Linked DNA regions of Schizosaccharomyces pombe. The gene in region 2 interacts genetically with the main gene of each other region. Each region holds a gene or a part of one and is shown on either strand. Other genes may lie near its edges. The genes, in order: set3, fft3, pfd1 and hos2.

Evidence for each region.
Region 1: mutations in fft3 (region 2) and set3 together harm fitness more than expected from each alone (negative genetic interaction), as found in Schizosaccharomyces pombe (2 studies listed by BioGRID).
Region 3: mutations in fft3 (region 2) and pfd1 together harm fitness more than expected from each alone (negative genetic interaction), as found in Schizosaccharomyces pombe (2 studies listed by BioGRID).
Region 4: mutations in fft3 (region 2) and hos2 together harm fitness more than expected from each alone (negative genetic interaction), as found in Schizosaccharomyces pombe (2 studies listed by BioGRID).

Annotation. Positions count from the first base shown.
Region 1 is NC_003424.3:5,036,796-5,045,835, reverse strand, and holds set3 (putative histone H3 lysine methyltransferase Set3), read left to right. Parts: upstream 1-3,091; 5' UTR 3,092-3,354; coding exon 3,355-5,934; 3' UTR 5,935-6,290; downstream 6,291-9,040. Other genes in the region: ribosome biogenesis protein rlp24, read left to right, coding at 1,164-1,168, 1,219-1,357, 1,605-2,039; etp1 (monooxygenase-ferredoxin fusion protein), read left to right, coding at 6,733-8,344, 8,390-8,628. UniProt on the Schizosaccharomyces pombe protein: Transcriptional regulator that acts via the formation of large multiprotein complexes that modify and/or remodel the chromatin. Required for both gene activation and repression.
Region 2 is NC_003424.3:2,094,328-2,103,518, reverse strand, and holds fft3 (protein Fft3), read left to right. Parts: upstream 1-1,713; 5' UTR 1,714-2,469; coding exon 2,470-5,238; 3' UTR 5,239-5,324; downstream 5,325-9,191. Other genes in the region: protein Atg14, read right to left, coding at 1-737; SPOM_SPAC25A8.03C (uncharacterized protein), read left to right, coding at 5,734-7,137; obr1 (NAD(P)H dehydrogenase (quinone)), read left to right, coding at 8,628-9,191. UniProt on the Schizosaccharomyces pombe protein: DNA helicase that possesses intrinsic ATP-dependent nucleosome-remodeling activity and is required for heterochromatin organization.
Region 3 is NC_003423.3:1,753,984-1,760,947, forward strand, and holds pfd1 (prefoldin subunit 1), read right to left. Parts: upstream 3,276-6,964; 5' UTR 3,114-3,275; coding exon 3,105-3,113; exon of another isoform or gene 3,008-3,104; coding exon 2,841-3,007; exon of another isoform or gene 2,690-2,840; coding exon 2,527-2,689; 3' UTR 2,283-2,526; intron 2,240-2,282; exon of another isoform or gene 2,139-2,239; intron 2,060-2,138; 3' UTR 1,918-2,059; downstream 1-1,917. Other genes in the region: DNA-binding transcription repressor, glucose sensing, Scr1, read left to right, coding at 1-1,303; protein Fis1, read left to right, coding at 3,824-4,205, 4,319-4,419; actin cortical patch component End3, read right to left, coding at 4,975-5,877, 6,102-6,178, 6,249-6,396; mRNA turnover and ribosome assembly protein Mrt4, read left to right, coding at 6,749-6,865.
Region 4 is NC_003424.3:3,166,219-3,173,567, reverse strand, and holds hos2 (class 1 histone deacetylase Hos2), read right to left. Parts: upstream 3,898-7,349; 5' UTR 3,459-3,897; coding exon 2,154-3,458; 3' UTR 2,056-2,153; downstream 1-2,055. Other genes in the region: phenylalanine--tRNA (Phe) ligase alpha subunit Frs2, read left to right, coding at 223-516, 711-800, 869-1,984; png1 (chromatin modification-related protein), read left to right, coding at 4,526-5,377; tif211 (translation initiation factor eIF2 alpha subunit), read right to left, coding at 6,024-6,703, 6,810-6,980, 7,043-7,112.

The DNA.
Region 1 (9,040 bases), 2.9 Mb from region 2:
TTCTTTTAAACGCAAAGGAATTTAAAAAAAAGAAAAGACAAAGTACAATAGCAGTATTATTGATGCCCTCCTTGAGGGTCGTTTTGTAATAGATCTTCAGATGAAGATGTATTTGGATACTGTCGTATACGATAATTTGTTTTAGATATAACGATAATGACATAAAAATTTTTTAACTATGGTTTTGGAAACCAGTTTATCGATTTTTATTTTACTTGTGATTCTCTTCATTCATTTGTCTTGTGGGTCTTTGCCACAAATATTCGATATAATGTTTATAAAAACTAAATATGTAAAAAAATAACCTGTACATTCATTTTATTAAAAAAAGTAATTATAATAAATATTCTTTAACTTATGGTACACATAATATTGTTATCATGTATGGTCTTGATGGAGAAAAGGTAAATAACTAAACTAAAAAATTTAAAACGAAGTAAAAAATATCGGTAAGTACGAAAAATAGATAAAATTTAATAAAAAAAGGAAAAAAAAAAAAACAATTACATTTTCTCAAAAATCACTTGAAAACTAAAGACTCTTCTTGTTTTGTAATACTAGACTTATTCAATTTGACTAAGTAAAACACACTTGTATAATAAATAGTATATTTTATTTGTAATGATAACAAGGTCTCGTGGCCCAATGGTTAAGGCGCTTGACTACGGATCAAGAGATTCCAGGTTCGACTCCTGGCGGGATCGTTTTTTCAAAAGCTCAAATATCGTGAATACTGTAAAATACCTTTTAAGATCGTGCGTCTATGTATCCTATTGCAATCCAGTAAACTGCATATGCATAGAGGGATTGTGTTTTTAAAAGCAATTAACCTCGGTAATATTATGTATTTATTTTTTTTGGCGTAGACACGCCTTTGATAAAGAAGCGATATGAGTTAACAAAAATTGAAGATAAAATTTATTATTAATAGGTTCCTAAGATTGCGTCCGAGACCATTCACTCGAAACTTCACCGAGATGGTATTTCATTAAATAACGCAACCTAACGATATATCATAAATTAGATAAGGCATATTTGGAATTCGCAAAACGCAGCTTAAGTAGAAGCTCGCATCTCAAATATGTGCGTTGTAGGGAGCGCGAATTTTTACCTGCTCTTAGCCAACTTGAACATACAAGGACGGGAAAGAATTTAGGGGGAATATGAGGTTTGTAGAGCTAAATGCCTTCAAAGTATTTATTACTAACGGAAATTTAGGGTACATACTTGCTATTTCTGCTCGGGTCCTGTTTACCCAGGACATGGAATAATGTTTGTTAGAAATGACTCCAAGGTCTTTCGTTTCTGTCGCAGCAAGTGCCATAAGAACTTCAAAATGAAGCGCAATCCTCGTAAGGTATGTTTTTTTTATAATAAAGGAATGCAAAAACGTTATACAGACTTGGTTGAGGAAGATGATTGATTTTGAAAGAGGAAAAATTTTTTTCTGTTGCCTTGTTTTGAAATGATACTTTTCTTCTTCAAATTCTACCTTAAATGGTGTACTTTTTCCTTTATATGCCCATGAACGAAGAAAGTTTTCTATTGTTTTTTTAAATGTTTTGCTTCCACCTATATGTATGTATACTAACTTCAATGTCTAGGTTGCTTGGACCAAAGCGTACCGTAAGGCACATGGAAAGGAAATGGTTTATGACACAGCTCTCGCAGTTACCGCAGCTCGTAGAAATGTTCCTGTTCGTTACGACCGTAATGTCATTGCAACTACTTTGAATGCCATGAAACGGGTTAGCCAAGTTCATGCCAAGAGAGAGCGTCTGTTTTACAAAAAGAGATTGGCTGGCAAACGTGCCCAAGAGCTTCAAGAAGCTCAAAAACTCATTGCTCAAAATGTTCCTCAATTTACCGAACCCGAAGGTGAGGTTGAAACTGCTGAGGTACAAGAACCCCAAATTGTTTCCGACGAGGAGTATACCATGGAAGAAGAAGTTGCAGAACCTGTCAAGATTCCCGTCCTCGCCAAAAAACGCAAAAACAAGAAATCTCGAAACTCATCTTCAGCCATGCAAATGGACTAAACACTCTTCTTCCTACAAAAATGTAACTCTCGATCTTCCGTTGGTTGCGTCCCGCTTCGTTCTTTTATTTTATTTTATTTTATTGTTTTATTCCTTTCAAATTTACAAAATAGTAGAAGAGAAGACATTTTTGGGGAGTGGTTTTCTTACACTTTCGAACTCTTTAGACACTTCGAAAACGTGTTTTTTAAAATTTATCTTGCATATCTAAAGTTGGCATTTGGTTTCGGCTTCTCTTCTCGTTTGGTTACTTCTTTGGACTTGCATGCTACGTGCAGATTAATATGGTTAATAATGGATTTTCGTGTATACATACTTGTAAACGAACCTATCTTCAGTTTGGAGCTTGTACAAGATACAACAGTCTAACAGTTTGAAAAATGGTTGTTTAGGAATAAATTGGTTTATATTATTAGTTTCGTTTATCACAAATGCCTCTTCGAAATGTAAAATTCTACTAGAACGATAGAACATTGCTTCATTATTTGGATTCAATTCTCCATGAGGTATATTTAGTAAGTCATAAAACAGTAAAGACTTTGTCATTTATGCTGGTTTCCTTGCATATACATTTCTCTATAGTTGACAAGCCTATTCAAGTCTCATATCACTGTGGAACTCATGAAAACAGATCCCTCTCCTTGTAAAGCTGTTTAAACCCTACAGTCCAATGCTAAAGGTTGTTAATTCTTTAGAGTTGCGAGTCCGTTATTGACGTTTTCGATTGCTTGCGCACACTCACTAACACCATACATTAGCTAACTACTGACACATTGCACCTGCCGTTTATCTCAACTCATTGTCTTAGTAGATGATTTTTTTTTTTCAAAATGGTTTCTTAGCAAGACTCATTAAAAACTCCTTGACAGTTTTATTACCTTCTAAAATATGTAAAATGAGAAGTTTCATAGAGAAATGAACTATTCTTCAACATCTTCTTCTCTTTGTTTTTACCGAGGAGACGTTAGACTGCGGAAACGTGGTTTATGGGACGTGTGTTTACACTCGGTGGATGGAAATGTTGAAGAGCGGAATAATCGCGACGTCGTATCAACTACCAAAATCGCGTATGCAAATTGAAAACAGAGTATTTGTTCAACTTACATGGTTTTTCGAGTATTTATATACTAGATTCCTAGTTTTAGGAGAGTTCAGATAATCGAGATAGCCATTGGTATAGTTGGGGCTAAAATCTTTGCTTTCATAAGAAAGCAGTAATTTCCAAGGTTAAATTGCTCCTGTACAGAAATTAGCGTTTATGAAATACTTCTTTACTTTGTTATAAGTTGATCGTTTTCTCTTTGGTTAAGTTAGCATGTGGAAAATACGATGCGTTTGTCCATTCGAGGATGATGACGGATTCACCATCCAATGCGAAAGTTGCGAGGTATGGCAACACGCCGTTTGTGTAAACATAGATGCAAATAATGTTCCTGAAAAATATTTTTGTGAACAATGCCAACCTCGTCCTATCGATGCCGACAAGGCGCATAAAATTCAACTAGCTAGGTTACAGCGCGAAGAAGAGCAGTCTAGGATATTATCGCGATCCCGTTCTTCCAACAACAAGAGAAGAACTAGTTTTGGCAAAAATGGTGCTAGTCCTACACACTCTGCGTCACCGAGACAAGGCAATAACACAGGCGCTAATGGCGCTTTATTTTCACAGTCTACCAACTCTTCGAACTCGGGGTCTTATCGTAACAGTGTGACTGGTGCAACATTGCCCAATGCTCATGCTCCACATTCTCAGAATCGCAGACGAAGATCCAACCACCTTAACAACCCACCAGAGGCTCCAATCACCGAGGCTTCTAACGAATATGTGTATTCGTTTCACTTGGAATACGTCCCTTTGGAATCAAACACCTTTTCTGCATCTGCGCTTGAGTATTCTAAGAATTTGGATTTAAAGAATTTAGATGAATCCGAAGTTTTAATGGATGGATGCCAAGTCGTACCTATATCATCTTCAAAGTTTTGTTGTAGTCGCTTTGGTTTGGTGTCAACTTGCGAAATTCCTCCAAATACACCCATTATGGAGGTGAAAGGAAGGGTTTGTACGCAGAATGAATACAAAAGTGATCCCAAAAACCAGTACAATATTTTGGGGGCTCCTAAGCCACATGTCTTTTTTGACTCAAATTCTCAGCTTGTTGTTGACTCACGGGTTGCTGGTTCAAAAGCGAGGTTTGCGCGTAAAGGTTGTCAGTCAAACTCCGTCGTTTCAAGTGTTTACATGAATGGGTCTAACAGTGTTCCTCGATTTATCCTCTATTCAACTACTCACATAGCTCCGGAAACAGAGATTATTGGGGATTGGACTCTCGATATTTCCCATCCATTTCGCCAGTTTGCGCCTGGTATGTCGCGACCCTCCTTCAATATGGAAGAGTTGGAATTACTTTCAGAAGTGCTTTCTACCTTCCTGTCGTTTAACGAATGTGCCTCACAGGATAAGAAAAACTGTGTTTTTTCCAGAGTTACTAAATATATTAAAGCGGCCCGCCGCGCTTCTACTGCAAACCGTGTCAGTGTAGCAAAAGACCGTTTGTCTCTGACACCTTCCTCAACCCCTTCTACCCCTAGCCCTGCTGAATCATTACCGCAACCTTCAAACCCCACATCGGTCTATGCCAAATCCTTGAAAGAGTTTTGGTTAGATAAGTACCGTCTTAGTATTTTGCAAAAATGGCCTGCTGTTAAGTCATTACCCACAGAAAGTGTAGGAATCGATGTAGTCATGGAGCCGAAGTTACAGCCATCTGTGAAGGAGAAAAAACCAACTAAAGATTTACAATCTCCACTACCCTCTGTTGAGGAAGATTCCTCTAATAGGGACAAGAAAACTGATATTGCTGATTTACACACTGATTCTAAGGTGGGCATTGCAGACGTCTTATCGCCCATTTCACCCGATGCTGCATTACAATCCGATGGTCCATTGAAAAAAGCAAAGGAACCTGAAGAATCCTCGATAACCCCTACAACTCCTCCATCTTTTAATGTTGGAGAATCACTAAGTAGGCGATCAGCCTCACCATTACAACATCCTCGAACAAGCCCAGATATGCTGGACAAAACTTCTCCTTGCAAAAGAGGATTAGGAACTATTACGACAGTCCACAAAAAGCATGGTTCTGTTGATCATTTGCCGTCAGTTAAAAGACGCCGTAGCATTGCAAATGATTTTCATGGCAAACCTGATTATAATAAAAGATCGCTATCTATCGAAAGGAAGCCGGAAGCCTTTAAGACTAAAGGTGACAGACCACATAAGGTCCATCCTTCTTTCCATAGAAATTCAGATTCAAAATTGAAACTCGAGCCGTCGAGTAAAGAAAAGAGTGGGTCCATGTTTTTTAATACGTTAAGGACTGTAAAAGATAAATCGCATGTTCACGACACTCAAAGGTCTTCTGACGTTAACTTTTCTAGACAGAATGGCACTCGATCCCATTCACCTTCGGTTAGTCCTGTCGGGTTTTCGTTTGATAAATCTCCTGTAACTACGCCTCCTTTGCCGACAGCTCCAGCACCAGTTATAACGAGTCGCCATGCTTTGGTAAACAACCAATTTCCTACGAACAATCCAAACATTTTGGACCACAAAGCCAACAACGGTGATGATATCTCGAATGCGTTAAATACTTCAAGAAGCGAAAACAAGCCCAATTCGAATCTGGTCCAAGGAAGTGTAGTCAAGCCTAGTAACACTTCAGCCTCTGCTCTTCCTACCTCAGCACCGAAGAAGCTATCTCTTTCTGAGTATCGACAACGACGTCAACAAAACATTCTGCATCAACAGTCGAAGGATAATCAAGCACATGGCGATACAGCTAGGCCTCACACCGTTCCTGCTGCTACAGTTTCTAACCCTTCATTTACGCGATAAAAATTCTAGAAGATGTTGTAAATCTTGAAACCATATAAATGTGTGGATGATTTTTTTTATTGGATATGGTATACGAACAAGTTTTCACGATTCTAAAGTTGGTACGATGACTGCATCTTTTTACCTTCATATGTATTTTCATTTCATTTTTTTATTATGATGATTGGTACTCGGAGCATATTTTACTGTCACCTGCTTCTGCATTCTTTTCTTCTTCGTTTGTAAATATTTAATGACTAAGTGTTTGGGCGAAAACTCTAGTTCCTTTTTTTTTTTTTAGTTTCTTTTGATTCAGAGCAACGAACCCTCAGTCGTTGCATTTTTCTGTTCCTAATTTGCACGTTTAGAACATTGTACAATATAATAATATTAATTTATAGCAGTTAAATGATTTATGTTTGTCATATAGAAGTTTCGGTTCGTAAGATTATAAGAACTAACTATTTAAGATGTCAGCTATTTCCGTATGCGACATGTACTAGATTAAATAACTTTTTGGATACGCAAATGAAGCTAGTACATTTTGAGTATTAAGTATCATAAATATAAACATCGATTCAAATATGCTACGTGCAGATTTCAGCGAATTGTCGCATCAAATTAAACTATTCATCGACGATCCACTCAGATCTTGTATATATCAAACGGCCTACGTTAATATAGCTTGTCTACTTATAGCGACTCTGAAAGTGCGCCGTTAGATTATTGTGGTATAGAACCGGGAGGTTAGGTACCATTCCTCTCTCTCCATGAACCTACTTTTTTAAGCGAAACGCAAACAAAAGTAAACAATTACCAATGAACATTTCACGTTCATCAGGTCTGATGAGACAGTTCCTGCTTCAGCCCTTACGGAAAGGCTGCGACATTTCTTGCCTTGGAAGGTCAAGTTGGAGAATGAGCAGGAGCTTCTCTGGATCGAGTGTTTTAAATGAAATTAATTTGTCACGGACTAAGAATTTATTTTTGAATGATTGTAAGTTTAATAAAAATTCATTTGAAAAGTTTTTTGCTCGCCGGCTGAGTAACTCAGTCGCTCCTACACCAGGTGGCATCCTACAGGAAACCGAAAAAATTCCGAGTAAAAAGGTCGCCTTTTGGCTGCTTGGATCTTCTGCTCTTGTTCTTGCAATTGTTGTTGTAGGTGGCATTACTAGACTAACTGAATCCGGGTTAAGTATTACTGAATGGAAGCCCATCACTGGCGTAATTCCTCCTCTTACTGATGAACAATGGAACCAAGAATTTGAGCTTTACAAAAAATCACCAGAGTTTGAGAAGCTGAACAGCCATATGACAGTGGATGAGTTTAAAAACATATTTTTCTGGGAGTGGTTTCATCGTGTCCTCGGTAGAGGAATCGGCTTGACAATCCTTCTTCCTTCCATATACATGATTGTGACTAAAAGGGCATCTCCTTGGCTAAGCAAGCGACTAATCGGCCTTACGGGACTCGTTGGACTTCAAGGAGTCATCGGTTGGTGGATGGTCAAGAGTGGTCTTTCAGAAGAGCTCTTCAGTGATGGTTCTCATCCGCGTGTTAGTCATTATCGCTTGGCTACTCATTTAGCCGCTGCCGTTGCTCTCTATATTGGCTTGGTGTGGACTGGGCATGGAATCCTTCAACGACATGCCTTTTTGAAATCTATGAAGAGTGGCTCCACATCTCAATTGACTTCAATGGTTTCTTCAGTTCAGAAAATGAAAGGATTTCGTACTAGTGTTAACTCATTTGTTGGCTTGGTACTGATCACCCTTTTGTCCGGTGCCTTTGTTGCTGGATTGGATGCCGGAATGATTTATTGTACTTTCCCGGAAATGGGCGAAGGAAGACTTGCTCCATCTAAAAGCGAGTTATTTGATCAAAGGTTTTGTAGGAAAGACGACAAGTCCGATCTTATATGGAGAAACATGATTGACAACCCAAGTCTTGTTCAACTCGAACACCGTATCTTAGCTATTACTACTTTTGTTGCTGCATGTGGTCTTTTTATTTTTTCCCGTGCTAAAAGAAACATTTTGCCTAAGAAGATTAAAACTAGCATTAACGTTGTTACAGGCGTTGTAACTGCTCAAGCTACTTTGGGTATTATGACTCTAATCTATGTTGTCCCTGTACCTTTGGCAGCCCTTCATCAAGCCGGTAGTCTTGTTACATTAACCGCGGCCTTATCACTTGCTCAGCGCTTGCATCCAGAATACGCTTTAAAAAACATCCGCTCATGGACAAAATTAATCTCTTCTCCTCCCAAAAGTAGCATTTCATCTTCCATTTTGACTCAACAACGCCAATTCCATACATTCCGCCCATCATTCCATTCCGAAATTAAAAAGCCTTTGCCGGGCACTGGAATCAAAGTTTTTTTCGTCACGCCTGAAGGACGTGAAATCATGATTGAGGGAAATGAAGGTGATAGTATTTTAGATCTCGCTCATGCTAACAATATCGATTTAGAAGGCGCTTGTGAAGGGTCTGTTGCATGTTCGACTTGCCATGTTATCGTAGATCCAGAGCATTACGAACTTTTGGATCCCCCGGAAGAAGATGAAGAAGACATGCTTGATTTAGCATTTGGTCTTGAGGAAACAAGCAGATTGGGATGCCAAGTACTCTTAAGAAAAGATTTGGATGGCATCCGTGTACGAATTCCTGCTCAGACTAGAAACATACGATTGGAGAGACCAAAAGCTTGATTTTGTCAACATGCTTACAATTTGACAAGTGTCTCGTACTAGTATTCCATAAAAGTATTTTCTTCCGAAAGTATACTATCTCATCCGTATTCTCAACTTTCATTTTTTTTTTTTGGATCAAGTTCATGCCTAGCTAATAAATGCACATAACTAATTAAATAGTCAACCTGGCACATGGTTTTACATTTTAACTATATTCCTTCTTTATCCAGACTACAGTTGTTTTAATTATAAATTAACCCTTTGTTTTCAAATCTTACACTTAATCATGAAAACTTGTAATATTACTAAGACCAGGATGAAGATGGTTTCTAAATTTCATACTTTTAATGTTTTCATCGTCGTTTATATTTTTTTTACTATTAAATGCTTAAAGTTATTTCATGATTAACAAGTAGATGCTCTATTTTTC
Region 2 (9,191 bases):
TCTTTACTTCTGATACATACAGGAATGCCAGAAATAGTCACAGAGGCATTTAACTCCATCACCTGAGAAAAAAAGTTGCTATAAAAATGTCCTGTTTCATTGTCACTATGAGATAAGTCGGATTTCGAATTGCCCATTGATAATTTTGAAAGTCTATACGCAAGAGATGAATCTATGGAGTCAGGGTTAAACTCTGATCCCATTTGAGCAGATTTTTGAGTGCAACCCTGAGTGTTAAGCACTAAATCCCTTTGCCAGTGAAGTTGATACATATCCAAAACCCTTGTTATCAGCTTCTTTTGATACTCATGCAATTTATTTTGAAGTAGCTCAGAACGGCGATAAGCTGTAAGGTATTCCTTAGAGAAATAGTCACTCGTTGAATGTGATAAGCCAGCTAACTTTTGACTCGCGATATTAATTGATTTTTTGCGATTAGACAAGTCATCTTCTATAAGCTGTTTGCGGGAATGCAAGTCACACGATAACGATTTCTTTTCGTTTAGAGAGGCAGCAAGGTTCTGTAGTCGATAAGTTAATTCCTCTTTTTGGGTAATCTTTCCTTTTAGAGAGAAACTTTCTGATTTCAATTTAGCAACCTTTTCAAGCTCTGACTCAATATCTCGAGAGAATTCATCACGTTTATGATAAAAATCATAAAGCTGCTTTTTTAAACAGCTTTCGCAAATAGAAGGACGTCTTGTTTCGCATAATTGGCATTTATTGACATGCAGCATACAAACACACCTTCAGTTTAGATCCAACAATGCCTTCAAGTGGTACGCAAATTTCAATTATAGCACAGCAATAAGAAAACTTAAAAACCCAGCAGGATATTAATTTCCTACTACGTTAACTGTCAACTTGTATACAATATAGGTGTTGTTAAAATAATGAAGCAAAAACAAAGAAGAAAAAGGGAAAAAAAATAAACAGCGCAGGTTTTTAAACAATTATTCTTAGAAACGAAGGGCCTCCTAACGGACAAATTCAAAAATATTAATTTAAAAGTGAAACTGCATTCCTGGCTGTTCTTGCAGAATTGAACAACCAATGCGATATTTTTGACAGAAAAAACGACAAATATTAAGAAAAAATTATATTATACGAATTCAATGCAATGAGTAGATGGACTTCTATTTCTTCAAATCCCCGAAGTAGCTACTTAGCAGTTGATGTTCGTATTGATTACTACAATCGTATGCAAATAGTTACTTTATAAAGCGTTTAAAAATATTTCCTTAAAGTAGCCTGTTACTCGACACTCAAATTTTTGCTAAATAACTTTGAGTGATGAGCAAGGTGTTTTACAAAACTATTTTATCTAAATAAATAGGTTAATAAAATATTAACTAAATAATATAATCCTAGAACCCAAACCATCCTCTTTTAACATTAGCTTTTGCAGTATCACCTAGAAAACATAACGTGGTACGCTGCCATAATATAACGAAACACTATTTGTTGTCATATTTCTTAAGGTTCAGTGACAAAAGATCTCTAGTATCTGCAGTTATGTTTAATGATTTTATTAAAACTATAAAAGAATAAAGACAATTTCGCCACGGTATCTTTTGCTAAATGTTTAGTAATATAAAGAGCAAGTTGCCATCATGATATAGCTTTACCATAAACTACGTTACAACGTTTAAGGCATTATTTAGCATCAGTATTTGGGACCACTACCACCATATCACGCCCCCGTGCCACATCAAGAACAAACTACCAGCATAGTGTGCTCTTGAATTATACCGAATAATTCCATAATACAAAAGAAGGTATTGGGTGACTGGAGTCTTTTTCTTTAACAATCCGATTCATTGAGTGTTATTATTTTAATTTTGGTAATTTTCTTTTTCTTTTTTTAAACAAAGATTGTTTTTGGATAGCCAAAGTATAAGTCGTTTTTGGTGATCTTTAATTGCGAGTATTTGTTTATTGCTAGAGCTTACCAAGTTTGCTTCATCTTAAACATCAGGAAAATTTTAAATTTATATTTTAAAATTTTTTTGTCTACTTTTCATTTACATTTTATTTTTCTTCATTAAATTCTGCATATCATCTCGAAACAACGCTTATGTATTAGAAGAAGGTGGTCTATCCTAATTAACTCATACACATCTCGTAACTAAAGGAATTGTTTCTTGTTTTAGAAATTGCAATAAGTTTTGGCCCTCAAAATTTTTTGTAATCTGCTGTTCCCATATTAAGTTTTCAACTATTTGAGTTACCAAGAAACGCGTGAAACAAGAAATCTGTATTGTTTTGTCGTTATTTCTTCCATTTTAATTAATCTTAGGAGAATTTAAAAAGTTTCAATCTTTTTGCATCTATTCTCGGCGCTCTTAATTCGTGTGATAAAATTATTCATAATATACACGTGACCTTACATATTTTTTCTCCAAATCCTATATTTTAGATTCAATTTTCTTTTGCCATTTGCTTGGATACATTGATTGTTACTTAATTATGGATGGAAAAAGAAAAATAGAGCATACCGCTGATGGCACGCATTACGACGCGACTTCCAACGTGAAGCGCAAGCCAATTTTCCCCCCTTTCATTGCTGATTCGCTTTCAGAAGCTACCGAAAAAGCTAATGTTATGGGGGGTGGTATGAATTCGCGACTTCAGATTCTTTCAGAGATGTCTAAACGAGTTCAGGCTACTGCACCCATTTCAAGTTTAGAACATTTCAAGCAGTTGAGTGATATTTCTCCCTCATTTACTTCCTCTGCTAACTCCATAAATCAACCATATAATTATTCCGGTTCGTTAGAAAATCTTGTTCCTACACCTTCTGCTGGCACTCCTTCGCAATTTATGGATGCCCAAAATCCATACGGCGCTGTTTACAATGCTTTATCTCAATTCTCTGAGACAGAGCCCAAAATGCCCTCTTACATGGATGACGAAGAAGCAAGCGATTCTTTACCTCTTTCATTATCGTCTCAATCACTGAGTTCACAGGTTACAAATCAAAAGCCAGCCCCACATCGTCTTACAATGAGAGAACGATATGCTGCTAATAATCTTACTAACGGACTTCAATTTACCTTGCCATTGTCATCTCGAAAGACTTATGAGCCTGAAGCTGACGATGACAGCAATGATGATATGTACTCTGATGATGATTCAAATGCAGATCGCTGGGCATCTCGTATAGATACTGCTGCTCTAAAGGAGGAAGTTCTTAAATATATGAATCGTTGTTCAACACAGGATTTGGCTGACATGACAGGTTGTACGCTTGCTGAAGCTGAATTTATGGTTGCCAAAAGACCTTTTCCAGATCTTGAATCTGCTTTGGTCGTTAAGCAACCTCGTCCGGTGATTCCCAAAGGTAGACGAGGTAGACGTGAAAAAACTCCTCTTGGACCACGTTTAGTTGGTATATGTATGGAAATTATGCGTGGTTATTTCGTAGTGGATGCGCTTATTCGTCAGTGTGAGCAGCTAGGTGGTAAAATTCAGCGCGGCATTGAAGCGTGGGGCTTGTCAAACACTGCTACATCTGATGAAGGTGAAACTTCTCTTGTCAACTTTGATCAAATGAAAAGTTTCGGTACGCCTGCAAATTCCTCGTTTATCACTACACCTCCTGCATCTTTTTCGCCCGATATCAAACTACAGGATTATCAGATCATTGGGATTAATTGGCTTTACCTTTTGTACGAGCTCAAACTGGCTGGTATCCTGGCTGATGAAATGGGGCTCGGTAAAACTTGTCAAACCATCGCTTTTTTCTCATTACTCATGGATAAAAATATTAACGGGCCACATTTGGTAATTGCACCTGCTTCAACGATGGAGAATTGGTTACGTGAATTTGCCAAGTTCTGTCCCAAGCTAAAAATTGAACTTTATTATGGATCGCAAGTCGAACGTGAAGAAATTCGTGAACGTATCAACTCTAATAAAGATTCTTATAACGTTATGTTAACCACCTACCGTTTAGCCGCTACTAGTAAGGCTGATCGTTTGTTTTTGCGCAACCAAAAGTTCAATGTTTGTGTATATGACGAAGGTCATTACTTGAAAAACCGTGCGTCTGAGAGATATCGTCATTTGATGAGTATTCCTGCCGACTTTCGAGTTTTGCTAACTGGTACACCGCTACAGAATAATCTTAAAGAATTAATTTCGCTTTTAGCGTTCATTCTTCCTCATGTATTTGATTATGGTTTGAAAAGTTTAGATGTCATTTTTACTATGAAAAAATCCCCAGAAAGCGACTTTGAACGAGCATTGCTTTCAGAACAGCGAGTATCGAGAGCCAAAATGATGATGGCCCCATTTGTCCTTCGCCGTAAAAAGAGCCAGGTGTTAGATGCTTTGCCGAAGAAAACGCGTATTATAGAATTTTGCGAATTTTCCGAAGAGGAACGTCGCCGTTATGATGACTTCGCTAGCAAACAAAGTGTAAATTCTTTATTGGATGAAAATGTCATGAAAACTAATTTAGATACGAATGCAAATCTTGCAAAGAAGAAAAGCACAGCTGGTTTTGTGCTTGTACAGCTTCGTAAGCTTGCGGATCACCCTATGTTGTTTCGAATTCATTATAAAGATGATATCCTTCGACAAATGGCGAAAGCTATTATGAATGAACCCCAATACAAAAAGGCAAACGAACTTTATATATTTGAAGACATGCAGTACATGTCAGATATTGAGCTACATAATTTGTGTTGCAAATTTCCGTCTATCAATTCATTCCAACTTAAAGATGAACCTTGGATGGACGCCACAAAGGTCAGAAAACTTAAAAAACTGCTCACTAATGCTGTTGAAAATGGCGACAGAGTTGTATTATTTAGTCAGTTTACACAGGTTTTGGACATTCTTCAACTTGTCATGAAATCATTAAATCTAAAGTTTTTAAGATTTGATGGTTCTACACAAGTCGATTTCCGCCAGGATCTCATCGATCAATTTTATGCTGATGAAAGCATTAATGTATTTCTTCTTTCTACCAAAGCCGGCGGTTTTGGTATCAATCTTGCGTGTGCTAATATGGTTATTCTTTATGATGTCTCTTTCAATCCATTCGATGACCTTCAGGCGGAAGATAGAGCACATAGAGTTGGCCAAAAGAAAGAAGTTACAGTTTATAAATTTGTTGTCAAGGATACCATCGAAGAGCACATTCAACGTTTAGCCAACGCTAAAATTGCTTTGGATGCGACTCTTTCCGGCAATGCCGAAACTGTGGAGGCTGAAGATGACGATGATTAGTTTATACAGGGTTTTTTATGCATTAGTTTTAAAATAGTCAAATTGATTAGGTTTCTACTTTATTCGAGTAAACCTTTCTCTTTATTTTCAATTGTATTATCTGTATTTGTGTTTTGCACGTTATAAGTCGATCCCGTTTCACTAAATCAGATTAAAAGATTTGATTTGTAAAAGTAAATTCTATTTATTGAATGATACAAATTCAGTACTTCTTCAACCTAATATGAAAGCTTTTAGCTTCTTGACACCATTTATATACCACGCCAAAAACGCGTCGTGAAAATGGTCAGTCTTTTTTGAAGATAATACAGCAAATAAGCGATTCTTATTATCCAAAGTCGTTCTAAAACTTGCAAAACAAAAGTTGACAGAGGAAAGCACTTCACCTAGTAAGTTTATGAAATCATATTATTACATTTTATTTCTCAACTTCGAATAATAGTAATCGAATAAATAATGAATTTTGTTCAATTTTAATACTACAAAGAGTGTTAAATGCTGAATCTTTATATGTGGAAGCTAAGTCGCTCTCAAGTTTATCAAGCTTCATTATTATTTGGAAGCAGAGTAATTAGTGCTCTTGCATTTACAAATACCGGTCTAGTTTTGCATGGCCCAAGAAGATGGTATACTACTGATAATGGATTTTTGTTGCACCGCGATTCTAAGGTTTCGTTAGCCGATTATATTCATGAATCTACGTTTGATCCCAGCAAGGGTTACTATTCTCGACTTTGGACAGGCTCAACCAATAATTTGAGCCATTCTGTACATGTATTAAGGAAAGAAGGGCATAAATGTTCCAAAGAATTTGATCCTTTTTTGCATGGAATACCTATTCCTCAAAAGGCATTAAACATCTATGAAAAGCAAAGGTCTCTATTCTCTGAGTCCATTAGTAACTACTTGGTGTTGCAGTATAAACTTCGATATTTCCCGGTGTTTGATTTGAAAATATATGATTTTCATTCTGGGACTGGAATAATAGCATTGGATATTCTTGATTATCTTTATAAAAATCACCTTGAAGTTTATGGACGTACTACATACAATATAGTCTTGCATAATTCTTGGCAAGCAAGCTGGTTTAAGAGCATGTTGACATCTGTGAGATATGCAAAGCATGGAGATCATATTGATATATATGTTAGTGATCCATTAACGTGGAACCATACTGATACAAATCCTTGCTTTGTATTGGCATTACAGGTAATTAGCTCCTTCGGTCATGATTTATTTCGTCAGAGTAACGGCGCCATGATGATGGAACGGTGCTGGCTTGGTCCAGAGCACTTTTTAAACGAATTCTTCACTCTAAATACTCACCAAAAAGTTAGCTCTTTGAATTACCATTTAGCATTTCAACAAGCTAGGATTAATGTTCAGCAAGGGTTTAGCGACAGCAGGGCTAAACGGTACTTTTCCGGTGTTAAACAAGTATTTTGGTCCTTTTTTAGCACGCAAAAACTCACATACTATCCTACGAAAGCCATTAGATTTTTTGAACGATTGTCAAAACAGTTTCCGCACCACAGTCTGCTTTTGATGGACGTGTGTCACGTTGACAAATCCTTGCCTGGAATCAATGCACCGTCTGTTTTAAGTATGGAAAATGATTTTTCTACAAAAAAAATGTCTTCTAACATTGGGCACGTGTTTCAAAATGAGACCGTCAAATATGTGTTTCCCACACCTTTATATCTAGTTTCAGATATACTTCAGCTTGCTACTCATAATCGGTCCTTCATTTGTTCACTTCCCCATTTCTTAAGGCGATGGTCTAATGAACATGGTAGAAAGTTTTTCGTTCCTGTAGAACCGTCATCTAAAAACCTAAAAGTTCCTTATTCCTTCAACAATTACTACGTTGTCTCGTCTATGCCAACTTATTATTACTAAATGGCAAGTACTATTTTTCTTATTCTTTGTTCAACTTGAGAGGTGCACTAAGCGGGCTAGTGAATTGACTTTAGTTATTTATTTATTTATTTTTTGAAAATTGGTTATAAATAAAATAGCTTTAAATTGGAAAGAATATCATATTCAGTTAGGGTTGAAAAGGTTAAATAATGAAATTGCCAGTGTCAACTCGAAAGAGAATGCGAGCTTTAAACTGCATAAATAATTAAATATCGGAAATTTATACAATCTTCAAACGCAAGCCGTATTCAGTTTTGTATTGAACATCGATTGAATTGCTATAATCTTCCTATTAAAGATTTTGCAATAAACATTAATAATCCATTGAAATTTTTTTTTTTTTTTTTAAGAATCGAATTTTATTGTATTAAGACGTGATCCTAAACGCATTGTATAATATCATTGTGTTTTATTTTCCTGGGGTTTTTTTTTATTGCTTATTTAATTAATTAATTATTTATTTAATTAGTTAATTTATTTGCTTAGTTTATTACAACTCGTTCATCTTTTTATTTGGTTTTTTACTTTTAATTATTATTTCTTTTTTAATCATTCTTGAGAAATCGCTCTGTTTTGATTATGCGATTTATTTGCTATTGTCTTTTAGCACCTACAAATTTCTCAAGAATATTATCCTGTATGATGTTTTACATATGAATATATGAAATTGATTGATTTAAAATTGATACTATGATGAGAAAGGGAAGAGGTTTAACACTTCATTCTATAACCGTTTTCTTTTGTTTTCAGTGCTGACCAATTCCTTGCATACACAAAAACTTTCCAAGGATGATGATGGACTGGCTGACCATCAATGCATTTTGCACTTAAAATAGCGTACGTTTTATCGATTTACCGATGTTTTCCATTGGGTTGTGTTAAATTAGAGGTGACCGTAACCATGTTATTTTCCCAGTACTAAGTTAGTAGGAAAGCTATAGAGAAACCCAAAGTCCCCCACTTAGGCCAACAGTGGCGCAGCTACATCGATAAAGCAAAGATGAAAATAGCGATACAAAAGGTCAACACCAAAAACTCATCAAGCGAGCCAAAGTATGTAACCTCAGTTTACAGAAAATGGGACAGGTAATAACAAATGCCAACACCTGTGGAATGAAAGTATTTCAAGCACAAAATCGGTTTGTTTGATCTAAAGTGAGCATGAATGAGAGAGAAAGAAATAAAATAATAATAGAATCATTGTTTGAATAGGATTAGTCAGAAATGGTTCAATTTTCACAATCCTAGGATGAACCAAAGGTAGTTTACGTAATCTTGGTAATCAACCGCTGGTCCCAAAAAAACAGGAAATAAAAAAAAACACATCGGAGGCTTTCAAAAAATCTATATAAGGACGTAAAATTCCCTATATTTTTAAACGTTCCAAAGAAATTCAATCACAGCTTCATTCTTCACTGTCGTGCTTCGATTTCGTTATTTTATTACTCCAGCGTTTTATTAAACCCAGTATGTCTACCGCAAACACCGTCGCTATTGTGATTTATTCCACTTATGGCCATGTCGTCAAACTGGCTGAGGCCGAAAAGGCTGGCATTGAGAAAGCTGGTGGAAAAGCTGTCATTTATCAGTTCCCCGAGACATTGAGTCCTGAAATCTTGGAGAAGATGCATGCTGCACCCAAACCCAATTACCCTGTTGTTACACTCGATGTCTTAACGCAGTATGATGCCTTCCTCTTCGGTTATCCTACACGCTACGGCACTCCTCCTGCTCAGTTCCGTACTTTTTGGGACTCCACTGGTGGTTTATGGGTGCAAGGTGCTTTGCATGGAAAGTACTTTGGTCAGTTCTTTTCCACCGGTACCTTGGGCGGTGGTCAAGAAAGCACTGCTCTTACTGCCATGACCAGCTTTGTTCATCATGGAATGATTTTTGTACCTCTTGGCTATAAGAATACATTTTCACTCATGGCTAACGTTGAGTCCATTCATGGCGGCTCCAGCTGGGGCGCTGGTTCCTATGCTGGAGCCGACGGTTCTCGTAATGTATCCGATGATGAACTAGAAATTGCA
Region 3 (6,964 bases), on a different chromosome or scaffold from region 2:
CGTGTTCATTCCTCAAGTTGGCATGTCGGTTGCACCTCCCGTCGCCACTGCCGCCGTTTCCATGAGTTATCCTCACCATTACTCGGCTTCAGTGCAACAACAACAAGCTACTTTCGTTAGTAATGGACAGCCTCACAACCTACCCGCTCAAGCTCAACCTGCCACTATCTACGGTATTCCCGATGCCCTTCATACCACTCAAAATGGTACTACAATCCATGTTACGGGTACCCCTCCGGGTGCTGTTTCTCAACGCTCGGAACCCGATTCCAGATTGTCGTCCATGAACGAGATGCAATTGTTGGCTTCAGCGGCTGCTAATCAATTGGATGCTGCCCCTAGAATCACTCCTACAAAGTCTTCGGGTGTTAATTTAATGCCTTTATCTAATGCTCCTTCCCCACCGAAGCAGATGAATGTAGTAGGTAGTCTGCCATCATCATCCAATACTTCTCCTAATCATCTCGCATCGGTTCCCAATAGAGGCTTAACTTCTAACTCATCCACTGGTTCATTTACAAAGTATACTAATGGCTCGAGCAACTCTTTATATAGTAATTCGTCTATGCAGACTCCCTATCTGCCTAGCAAATCTAACAGTAGTACTAGCCTTCATTCAATGTATGGCGTTGGTACTACGGCTTACGCTCCTCAGTCTTTACGTTATGCCCATTACAACTATTTGCCTTATTCTCGACCCAGCGTATCCAATGGCTTTGATGATGATTCTTCGTCAAGTGATTTTGCCCATTTCCGATACCAGCGTCGCTCTCGCCCGGTTTCCCCCTGCAGCACTGCACCGAGTAGTCCTACCTTTTCCACTAGGAGCTTTAGTCCCACCCCAGACGTCACACCTCTCGTTACACCGGCACATTCTCCTCGTTTGAGACCCATGGATGATCCATCTTGCGTTCAATTACCTTCTATCCGCTCGCTTTCTCTACGACCTTCTCAAGTTCCGTTAATTCCTCCTTTGAAGTGTGATCCTAACGCCTTTTCCGCGTCTACACCAGCCTCTGGTGCTGTCTCTCGTACTCCATCGTCCGTCTCTCTGAGCTCGCTCTCCAACGTTAATAGCAGCATGCCTCACAAACCTGCATCCCAGTCGAATGTTGGTCCAGTCCGTATATCATCGAATCGACGATCACGCAAGTTCTCCTCTTCTTCGCGTGTGAGTGTCAGCAACCTTTTGGCCGGATCACCGCCATCTCCTTCTTCATCCACAAAGTCGGCGTCGTCTTCCTATTCCACCACCACACCGGCATTTTCAATAGGGCCGTTAACTCCTATGACCAAGCCCTAACCCAATATTTGCGCTGTGAACGCTAGTTACCTTTGCTTCCTTTAAACCATCTAAACACCTTGGTTGTGTGTTATGCTATTTTATAAATTAAGTATTAAATTTTTTATTAGTATCATGAGTCTCGACATTTGAGGTTCCATTGTTCAGTTTTTCTTTTTTTTTTTGTTTTAAATTTTTTTTAAACTTCTTGGCATATAATTAGTAATGTTATTTTGTGTTTATTAGACTGCTTTCATAGGTGAAAATTTATGTTATATGTTTAAATTACTTCTTGATCAGTGTATGGGTACAATAGACCATAAACTAATAAAGTTATTTTTTTTTACCGATGGTGTTTAATCCTTTTTGCTTTTATTTAGCTAAATTTATTGTATATAAAGTTGTCTGCAGATCTTATCAAAAAGTTGAACTGCAGGATCTACATTAATGACTTTAACTAGAACTACAGCAAATTACCATCATAATTTAACGGCAACTTCACAATTCGTATATAGAATTATTATTTTAATTCAGAAACAAACATCTGATATGAGAGACCTTCAAGTCCTAATATTGTCGCCATAGTTAATATTAATACATTACTACATACTTTGTTAAACAATGATTAGTGACAGTTCGTTTCGGATAATTTTATTCATAAACTATAAGTAAGCTATAAACTATTCCTTGTGCATCTCTCAAAAAGAAATCAGAAGTTAATGGAGAACAAAACAGCTTCCACACAGTTAATGATATCCTTGAAAAAATATAGAACACCTTAAAGTATGGGTCAGTAAAACAGCCAACACAAAAGTCAGACAAACAGACGTTGAAAAAGAAAGAAACAAAAGGGAACGAGAAATCTCAGACTGACGTGCAAATCAGATGGAAAAAGTTTCAGCATACGATGCTCAGTTGAACTATGCTTTTTTGGAATCATCAAAGAAATCCTTTCTCCATTTACTTTTCCAAACGTCAATTCTAACAGTAGAAAACTTACCTTAAAAGTATAACATATACTAAATTCACAAGTCTTCAAGCTTGAAATTTAAGTATCCATACACAAAAGCGCAGTCACAGTGATCAAAATTTCGGCTCACAAATGCCCCAGTATTTGTTAGAAATGCAAGAAGATTAATGGAACAAATTTACTTTAATTCTACAGTTTTAAAGATAAAAAAGAAAGTCATAAACTTTCCAATCCCATAATCCAATTTACCAATGAGATGATTATAATTGATGTTTTAAGAAATCGACTCTTTTATCTTTTGTAAATGCTGCTCAGCATTTGAGGCCGTTGTTTCGTGATATGTTTGTTTCTTTTGTAGTGCTTCAATATCTTCTCTTAAACTTGCCATTTCTGCGTCCAAATGTGTACGTACGGAAGCCAAATCGGATTTCATAAACCTGTAAATAAACAGTTAGTAAATGACTTTACATATAGATTGACAGTACGGTCAATTCCATTCCAAAAGTGCTGTTTTTGCTAATTCCGTATTCTTTCCCTATTTTTATAGAAAAGAAAATAAAAATACATGTTTCATTTTATGACACTTACATCTTTCCAAGAGAAGTATATACGGCCTTATCTTCTCCAACATCCTCTAACTCTTTTTTGGCTAATTCACTTATTTTTAGTGCCCGTTCCTTGGCAGCAATCTGTACCATTATGGTCCTCAGTTGTTGCTGTGAATCAACCGCTTTCTCTTGTATTTGACTAGCTAACTAATATGCCCAAAGCTCATTAGTTTACCATGTAACACAGTTAAAAAGAGGGAAATTCCTAACAAAATAATTCTCTTCTCAATGATGAAATACGTACATTTTGCATTATTTAAAGGAAACTTGGGTATATCTCAAGAACTTATTTTTTTTGGATTGAATTGCTCTTTCCAAAATTATGGTACAAAGAATAGTCCTTTTAATACTTTTTTTATAGACAAATCAAGAACTTTTTCAATATATTTGAATATACCACCTTTACAAGTATATCAAGTCTTAGGCAAAATGTTGGTTAGGCCTTAAGTACAAAGCTGGCATGTTACAAGCTACTTTACACTGCTTTTATTATCGGTACGTTTCGCAAATGTGAATTACATAATACGCCACAATTTGTAATAAATATTTTGTGAAATGTTTTGCCATATCCTTAAGTTCTTCCTTACATAAATTGTTGGCGATGGCGTTCACAAACGAATCTTCATTTCATTCCTTCTCTGTTTCAAATTTTTGTGGAAAAAGCATATCCATATTCTTACTAAATCGGATTTCTGGACTTTTCTATTGCTTTGGAAATCCATTATCCTTGTAGTTCACTCATTTGCGCCTCAAATCCTTTATAATTGGAATTGGCTGTTTACATTGATAATTTAGCATTTTTGCATCATACTCAACCCTTTTTTTCTTCTTTTATATTTGAGTTGTTGAATTTTTTTTCAAGTGACTGTAGTTTTTTCAACATTTTCCGTTTATTTATATTAATCCGCCTTTAAAATAATTAAGGCACATTCAAAGACCAATATAGGAAGCAATAACGACATCATGACTGAAAAACACACCCTTCGCCTCGCTGATCCTTCTGCTATTGATTCAATTATTTCTGTTGATGAGTTTCTACAAATCAAGGAACAATACGATGCAGAACAACCTCTGATTACTTTACAAACCAAATTTAACCTTGCTTGGGCATTGGTACGCTCAGATTCTACACAGCATGTACAACAGGGATTATCTTTGTTCTGCAGCATTTACAAAGATTCACCGGAAAGGCGTTTGGAATGCCTCTACTACATTGCTTTGTCCCATTACAAATTGAAGCAGTATGAAGAATCCCGTCGTTATCTCAATATGTTGTTATCCAAAGATCCAAATAGCCCAGAGGCTTTAAAGCTAAAAAACCGTCTTTACGATGCTGTTACAAAAGGTATGTTTATTTTAATAAAACTTAATGAGGTATCACATATGCATGAATGTTGTGTTTATGTTAGAAAGATGCGTTATAAATAATGAAAAGAATCATTACTAACCCGTTTTTAGAAGGATACATTGGAATGGTTGTGGTAGCTGGTGCAGTGGTGTCAGTTGCAGCTCTTGTAGGTTGGGCATCAAAACGGTTGTTTTCAAAGCGTCGTCCTTAAACCGTAAACGATATTAATCACAAGGGAGCTTTCTTTTGCATAAATTCTTCAATTTTTTCTCCTTACGAACAATAGGATTGTGGATGTATCCTTTTCATGAAACGCGTATGAGTTACGAAGGCTTTGGGAGACATTATAGTGTGCACTTTTTTTAGAAAAAGAAGATTATAAATCGAAGCTTGTTGTTTTTATTATATTATCTTTTCTTCTTACCCAGTTGATAGTTCTGAATTCGCTTGTGTTTCTTCTTAACAGCAGGGTAATAAATTTACCTCAAGGAGGTTTTAGATTGTTATAAAAAGAGAGTGAGTATTTATTATAAAAGCTGAATAAGTTCCTCCTTTTATACTAATTCAAAAGTTTTGTATCGATTAAACCAAAAAATATAATGATGGACATTAATGAATGATTTTACAATCCAATTCCCTCTTCCTGTTTGAACAGTTTATTAAGCCCAATAAAGAAAGAAAGAAAGAGTGTACCTTCGTCGATTTTCCAAGAAAACATCCAAAGACTCAAGTATTTGAGATGATGAGCTTTATAAACGAGATTTTGTTAAGACAGACTACGAAGCCTTTCCTCTAGCTTAGCCACTTGAGACTTCCGACCTTCCAAGTGACGTCCCAAAACATTAAGTTGTTGTTCCAGCATTTTTAAGTCATTATCAATGGCGGAAGCGCTGGGGCCATTTGGTCCATCATTTTTTAGAGATTGAAGGATACCCAACTTATAGTCAAGTACTTTCTGTAAATCACGTTGAATAAGCTTTGACTTATTTTGTGCAATGTTAACATCGTCAGTTTCACGTTGAAGGGAAAGAATCTTTTCGTCCAATTTGGACAGCTCATTTCTTAATGAAATCAGCTCCCAGTCAGAGTCTCTCACATCCCTCGGGGCATCAAGATCACTCTTCGGCTTCGCACCACCCGTAGATGGAGCCATTGTAGGTGAAGAGTAATAGTTATTAGTAGAGTTGTAGGAATCTAAATTATAATCGATATTTCCTCTCTTAAAACTAGCCTTTAAACTGTACGGGACATCATTAGGAATACGGAATCCGTTGGATCTCTGAGTAAGGATGTGCAAAAATACTAAACACTGATCTTTCTGTATGGTTTCAGTACCCTGAGGATTGACAAGTTTCCAAGCCTTCTGAATTTGAGAGTTGGGAACCCCAAAAGGAGTAAATACAGGTGCCAGGCCATTAAAAGATACTTCTCCGTGTTTATTGCAATGTAGGGAGTAAATATCGGAATATCGAATTTTATCGGATGGAGAAATGTACCAATCAAATCCATCTTTTAAAACGGCATCTTCCGGGTCGGTATCAAGCGAAGGTACTTTGTGTAAGAGAGCAATATCATCATTTCCACGAAGAGCATCTCGAGCTGCTACTAAATGCTTTTTGGAAGTAGACACCAACGCCTCGGGTACTCTATCTGGAACGGTTTTGTAAACCTAATGGTTAGAAATGATGAAAATAGACAAAAAAAGAAACCCTAAAAACCAAAGGTAGCCTTTCACAATAAAAACAATCAAACAAGTGGAAGGGATAAAAGAAAAAATGAAGGCTTTACGCAAGCGCCGTCTTCTTAAATCATTCATATCTTATTCCATCTTTTTACATTTATTTAATCCATGCTTCACAGGTTCATTCATGAGTAAAGTAAGTGGTTTCATACCCCATTAATCAAATCAAAGGTGATTTTCATAGCAATTGCAAATTCATCAAAATCAAACATTCCATCATCATCAATATCTATCCATATTCGTAACATTAGCACACGTTCGATTAAACGACTCAGACCGCAAACTCATGTTTTCCGTACCTGCTAAATCCCAAATTTTTTCCAATTTATCGCTTGAAAGCTTACTACTACGGAGGACTCCAGCAGCTTTGGATCCTGATAAATAGCCATTTTCTGGATTCAAGCCGCGAAAAATTTCCCAATACTTATTTTTCTCTTGGGGATCCATTATGTCGAGTTCTAGTAAATTTTAATACCCTAAAATATCTAATTCTCCTGAATCGTGTACGGCCAGTGGAAAAGTAAAAGAACTCAGTATATTGACCTTTCTTTTACCTTTTTCCAATGTTTGCTCATACTACGTGTCTTGTTTACGGTAAGCTCACAGACTACCGGATGTGATTCGGAAGTTGCGCGGCATTTCCCCGTTAAAATTACGAAACGCAATTAAGCACAACAATAATACTCTATCCTTAAATATCAAAGCCTAGCGCGCTGCATTTTTCAATGAATACCTGTAAAGAGTATGGTAAAATCGTTACCTCTGCCAACAACAATTTTTGCAGAGAAAAGAGGAAGAAATGCCAAAATCAAGGAGGTCGAAAGTTTTGACTCTCGCTCAAACTGAGAAAAAGGGTCATGAAGGAAAGGCTGCTCTTTTCTCTGGAGTACAGCAATCGCTGGATTCGTTTGACTATGTAAGTGAAAATGGGCTCGGTTGAGGAGTTGTAACAGAAATATCGTGCTGAAGGATTACAAAATGAGAAAAACGAGCATCATGGATTTAGATGCTTATT
Region 4 (7,349 bases), 1.1 Mb from region 2:
CAAACAGAGATGGATAATCTGAATTAGGATGTCCCGAACATTTTCTATCTGACATAATTTGTATGCTCTTACCATATATAAATTTTAGTAGTACATAAAACATAAACTTGTCAACGACGGCTTAATGTGTAGTGCTTTGAATCCGATGCTCACCGTTTCACCGTAGCACTCGCGTATCGCCAGTTACTTTACCTACTGCCAACACACCAACAAAGCTGTAAGATGTCAAAGCTTGAAGCCCTTCAAGTTTTCCTGCTTGAAAAGCTAAACGAAAAAAATGAAATTCCAAACACCAGTCATTTGGAATTCGATGGGAAGAAGTTAGGTCCTCAAGAAGCTCAATCGGCGATTTTGTCATTAGCTGCTAAAAACATGATTGAATTTTCAAGACATGAAATTGAAATTTACAATTTGACTGCAGAGGGTGAAAACATTTGCGCAAATGGTTCTCATGAAGCCAAAGTTTATAATGAAATTTGCGCTTCTATGAGCGGTTTAAATATTGGGGAACTCAAGGTAAAGTCATTGGAATCGTAGTTGTGAACGACGAAGCATTTAAATATAATTAAGTCTAAACGCCCGGTAAATATTGTTAGTTTTTTTTTTCTAGCATTATGTTGCATTTTCGATTTTTCGCGTTTTGATGCAACACCTTTTCATATCGCTACGTCTGCCTTTTAGTTTTTTTGTACTTTTTCTAACTGATTTAGAAAAAATTGGGGAATTCGGCTGGTATTGGTCAAGGAAGAGCCTTTAAACTCGGTTGGATTAAGAAAGATGGAGACAAGCTTGTTAAAAATGTAAGGCAAAGTTATAGTAGTGCAAATTGATTTAACGTTATGCAATATTTTATTTACTAACTGACCAGACTGATTCCATTACAGATGAGACCCCTAAGGTCCTTAGTGAAATTAAGGAACATGGAACTATCTCTGACAGTAAGACGTTAACTGATTTGAAGAAGAGAAAGCTTGTTGAACGTAACAAAATTATGTACTTCTCTTTGAGGAAAGGTCCAAATTTCTCGCTTCAAATTGAAAAACTGAACACCGATTTAACTGCTGAGATGATCACCTCTCGATCATGGGAAAGTGCCAAGTTTAAATCTTACAACTTTGCAGCTGAAGGTATACCTCCAGCTGGTGGATGTCTTCATCCTTTGATGAAAGTACGTGAAGAATTCCGTAAATTTTTCTTCGAATTGGGTTTTGAAGAAATGCCAACCAACAATTTTGTTGAAAGTGGATTTTGGAACTTTGATGCTTTATTTGTCCCCCAACAACATTCAGCAAGGGATGCTCAAGATACTTTCTTTTTGAAAGTTCCTGCTTCTACTGATAAATTGCCAGATCCCGAATATGTTGCTCGAGTAAAGGCCACTCACGAAAACGGTGGTGAGACTAAGGGCATTGGATACCGTGCTCCCTTTTCCTTGGAGGAAACTCGTAAACTAGTTCTTCGTACTCATACTACTGCTGTCTCGGCGAATATGTTGTACAAACTTGCCCAAAATGGCTTTCACCCTGCTAAATACTTCTCAATTGATCGGGTCTTCCGCAATGAAACCGTTGACGCAACTCATCTTGCCGAATTTCATCAAGTCGAAGGCGTAATCTGCGATAGAAATATTACCCTCGGTGATTTGATCGGTTTCCTTGAGGTGTTCTTTGGAAAAATGAACGTTAAAAATTTGCGCTTCAAACCTGCTTATAATCCTTATACTGAACCTTCATTGGAAGTCTTTTCCTACCACGAAAAGCTTGGTAAGTGGGTTGAAGTCGGAAACAGCGGCATGTTCCGTCCGGAGATGTTAGAGCCTATGGGATTACCTAAAGATGTTCGTTGTTTAGGTTTTGGTCTTTCTTTAGAGCGCCCCACTATGATCAAATATGGTGTGGCCGACATTAGACAATTGATTGGTCCTAAGGTTAACTTGGACCTAATTGAGGCTAGCCCTGCAGTTCGTTTAGACAAAGAGGAATAAATTTAGTGTTTTTTTTTGCATAATCGTTTATAAAAATAATACATAATCACTATGGTAAACGTATTTTCGTATAGGGTCAATTATTAATATTTACAATGTCTATAAACATTAACTAAAATTATTTGATGTTTGTACGGATATCAAATAAAAAGTCGAAAATTCATTAATATCAGCCTCGAACGCGAACATCCACAGCTTTGTCTAAGTATTCATCATTCAACCGTTCGTCTTCTTCTTCCAAATGCCCAGTTAAGTCTGGTGGAATTTGCTGCATCTGAACGCTTGGCGCTCCTCCTAAGTAACGTAATTGCTCCAAGGCCCGTATTCGAAGATCTTCAAGAGCTTTCGGTGTATTTTTATTTTCTATCTTCGTGGTTAATCGCGGATGGAGGGTGTAATCTGGTGCGAAAAATTCGTAATACAAAGTTTCACGAGGTAATTCTGAAGGTATTTGTTCGTTTACACATATGGAAGTTTCATAACACCACGCTCTAGCAACATTTCTAAGAGTATAACCACCACCTCCAACTACAAGCATGGGTATATTGAATGAACGGGTAAATCTAACACATTCCCCATGTGCATGGATGCTCAGATTGAACACGCCGAGCCGATCATAACCAAGCGAATCAGCACCACACTGAAGGACAATTGCAGAAGGTTGAAAAGTATTGATAGTTGGTTCAATTATGGATTTGAAAAGACTAGTGTACTGTTCATCACCAATACCATCTTCCAAAGGAACGTTTAAAGCAAAATATTTCCCTCCTTTCACGCCATTTTCATCAAAATTACCAGTTGCAGGAAAAAAATCACCATTATACTTGTGAAAAGAAACCGTCAACACGCGGTCAGATTCATAGAATGCTTGCTGCACACCATCTCCATGATGAATATCGATATCGATATACAAAACGCGAGGAAAAAACCGTAGCATGTTCAAAATTGCTAGAACAATATCATTAACATAGCAGAATCCACTAGCCTCACCACGCTTTGCATGATGGAGACCACCGCTCCAATTGATAGCAATGTCTGTTTGACCTTGCACTAACTTCCGAGAAGCATCCAAACTAGCGCCTGCCGACCTTTGAGAAAATTCATAAGTGCCGTCAAAGACCGGACAGTCATCACCAATATTGAATTGTTGGAACTTATCAGCAAATTGTTCAGCATTATCAGGAGTAACGCGCTTAAGGAAATCCAAATAATCCTCCCTATGAAATTCTGACATTTCACCAAAAGTTGCCATCCGGGGGCTGAATACACTCATTTTGTTATGCAACCCATAACCCATCACTAAATGATTTGTAATGGTAATTCGATGGGGCTTCATTGGATGTTTGTCACCATAGTGGTAGTTTCCCACCTGTTCATCTAAGTGATATGTGACACGCTTTTTTTGAGGTCGAAAGCTAAAAAAAGACCCCTTTTCAACTTGTTCATAAGGTGTGGATGTCTCAGGAGTATCCATGATATACAGACTATTATACTAAAAAAAACCGCGAGACAAATTAAATGAAAATATCTTTTCTAAAGAAAGAACAAGAAAAGAATAAATAAAATTAAGAAACAAATTAATAACTGTTTCAGAAGAAACAAGAGAAATGAAAGTTATTGACCAATGCCAAATTAATATAAATCGAAAAACAACCCAGATTTTTTTATAGAAAAGAATTCAATCCAAATAATAAACAGCAACACGAACTGTAAATACTTTATTTTTACGTCGAGCGCAGAATACGTAGCAAAAGGTCGCTAAACCCGATACCTTATTAGATAAAATGTACAACTTCAACAAAGCGTTAATTCAAACTCTTTGAAGCCCATAAACACAAGAACAAATAGGATTTACAATTTTTTGAAGAATTGCTAGTGCTGGTTCATTCTTATAACTTAAAAATGTATATCTCAGTGAACACAGAAGGAAGCTACCAACTTAGGTGTAGTTTAGTATGTTATGCTTCCATATATGAACTAACACATTAATAACGTATCGTTATTACTTAAACAGATGGTAACCTTTAGCATGTGAATTCATAGACAATTTGGCAACTTAGATATCATACATACGTTGAAAAGATTTATCTTCAAAGTGATTTGGTTTGCGTGAATTCTTATGTTTTTATTTCGCCCTCTTTGCCTTCCAGTACTGTGTTTACATTATATGGAGTGGCGGAACTCAACACCAAATGTGGGCTACTATAAACAACCGGAAAAATTTTCAGCAGCTTAAGAGAGTGTAAAAATAATCTTTAAACGACACAAAAACGAGCCATAGGTTCATATATATTATTTCAATTAGTGTCTTTGTCCTTCTCGTTTGTACATTTATTGTCACATTCCTCTACTTTAAAAGATAAAGTCATAGTATCTTTTATTCATTAGTTATTGAAGTATCGAAAATATTAGTGGAATATCAACTTTCCCTATCTCTTTAAAAGACTCAAATCTCCCTTTCTTTTGGAATTTGAAATCATAATAATAATTTTTGCATAAAGCGGAAATTAGAACGTATCTATAATTTTCAATTTGAGAATAATGGCAGATGATACAGCTTACATACTAAGTGAGTATTTGCAAACGTTGGATAATGTTCCCAACGAAACAAAACACATCTTTGACGAAATTAGTGTGAAGGAAGTTGCTGTACATGACATCTGGAAGAGAATTCAAGCAGCTGATTCTCAGATTCAGTCATACATTAAATCACATGGTTCCTTGACCCCACATCCAAAAGAAGATGCTTTGTATTCGACGATTCGCGAGGAGTATCAAAAGGCAATTAATATACAGAACGAGAAAGTCCAGTTGGCGGATCGTGCCAGATTGGGACTTACACGGCACATAAAGCGATTGGATGATAGACTTGCAAAGGCCGGTCATGGATTTACAGCTGCGGAATTGTTAAATGCTCCTGACTACTATGCTTCTTCACCGTATGGTGGATACAGTCCAAGTGGTGCCTCAAGTGCTCGTCAAACACCGGCCCCTTCTCGGTCGGGAGCCTCAACAGCTGGTCGCCGTCGTACTTCAGCAACTACCAGGGGTGCAATTCAAAATGGAGTCTATCACTCTCCTTATACGGCTTCGTTGGCAGATTCTGGTTCAACTCGCGGTCAGAAGGTTTCGAATGCCACTGCAACCACCCAGTTAGAAACTAAGGCAGATTCCACAACGCCGAATGAAATGGTCTCAGAAGAAGATATGGAAGAGGATAATGAAAAGTATTGTTTTTGCCAGCAAGGATCATATGGGCAAATGGTCGCTTGTGACAATGCTAATTGTGAGCGTGAATGGTTCCATATGGAGTGTGTTGGTCTTAAAGCTCCTCCTGAAGGTACATGGTATTGCGAAGCTTGTAGGGATCAGAAGCTTGTTGATGCTAAGTAATTTTTCCCCAATCTAAAGTCTGTTGGTCTTCCCATTATTGAATGCAAGCATTGTTGTTTTTTTTTGGGCTTTAATATCCGCTAATTTTTCACCTGTTCCGAACTTACTATATTTGATTATACGTTGTTCAAGCTGTGTATATGTGATTTGCAAAATGGTTAATTTATTAATCATATCTTCACGATTACGAATCCTTTTTATCTTATTCTTGTCCTTGTTTGTTTTTCACTCACATAATAAGTACCAGATTACTTGTACATTAAGAAATTCAGTTCTTTAATTTCCCCAATCCTCCCCAAAGCAGATATTACACGCCGTAGCTAACCACAGTAATAAGTCTTTTGTAACTTTATTATTTGTAATTGCATTTGTTGTCCATTATTTCTACTATATTGGAACTGAACTTATTATTGTACATACAAAGGAACAAGATGCAGCGTCTAGCGTTTTCATATTATCTCGTAACATATAAAAGAACTCTTACGCATTCGGAAAAAAGAAGAGGAAATTTTTTAACCATAGATATCACTAGATAAATTTGATAAAGTGTATAGTACAAAATAAAAAGAACCCCAGATTATAATGGAACACTAAAGTGCCAAAAATTCACAATGAAAAAGCGTATATTAGCTAGTGTCTAATCCATTTACTCAGAACCGCTTTGGTCATCCTCTTCATCACCAGAGATTTCAGCATTTTCCTTTTCAAATTTTTTCATCAAATCGGCAAGCTCCAATTCGTCAGTTTCACTAACCGCCTTGGGTTTCATTTTAACAGTACAGGTACCATTGGATGCTGTAATGGATTTTTCGATTGCACCAATTGCCTCTTCTAGCTTTTTGAGACCCAATGACTTATCTAATGCGTTTGTCAAAAGGACGTAAAGTGGAGGAGCAACAAGTTTAACTTTGATAGGAACCTCCTCGGTATGAACATCTTCAGCAGCCTTCAAAGCGGCCTTGATAGCGTTAATACCTTCGTAGCCAAAGCAAGTGACTTCAACGTCAGCACGAATTTTAATGGGCTGAGGCGTCAGACGACGAGAGATTTGAGCCAACAAATCATTAATAACACCCGATTTGGGAGGTTCTAAACCCTCAAAGACATGATCTGGGTTACTAATAGCAAGCTTAAAGGCGTCATAAGCATGTCCATATTTGCGGTATAATGGCCATCCAATTGTGGTATACATGGTCTCCAAAGGAACATTATGCTTCTCAGCAATATGGCGCATAATGGAATGAACAGCCTTAGATTTGTTGAAGCGTTCTTCGCACTTTACAACATCCTCAGGGCTAACACGGCGCTTTGAAAGATCGATGTATCCTTAATCCTGGTTAGTACATTCCTAACAACTTATAAACCTTTTTTCCCCTTTTGTTTTTCTTTTTTTTAAAAAAAAAAAAAAAAAAAACTACTAATAAATTCTTACCTTTTTCCTTGTCGACACGTAAGACCACGACGACTTCATTACGACCAACGCGAATATGCTTTTGTACTGAACGAATACGACGTCTGGAAAGCTCAGAGAGCAAAACCATTCCTTCAATATTATCGTATTCCAACAATTTTACATAAGCGCCCATCTCCTGGATTTGACGAACTATTGGAAATATTAGCCATTACCGTTTCTTTAGACAGACAACATGTGCATTTTTTACATACCGTTGACAACAACGAGTTCATCCACTTCCGGGAAGCGATTCTCGTACATTCTGCAGCTTGTCGTCGACATTTTTGCAAAGTGTTGAGTGTTTGGTTCTGAGTAAAAATTTGTGTGGACTACCCACTTCTAAACTCTAGGGGCCAATTTTGCTTCTTTTCAGAACCCAGACATTGGTCATTTTAACTTAACTGTTTATCAATAATTATTCTTTATATTTAAAAAGTTTCCTTAAAGAAGATTTATTAGTATCTAAAAGCACATAACGATCGGTGATAACTGGCTTACCAGCCGAACGCTGAATAAACT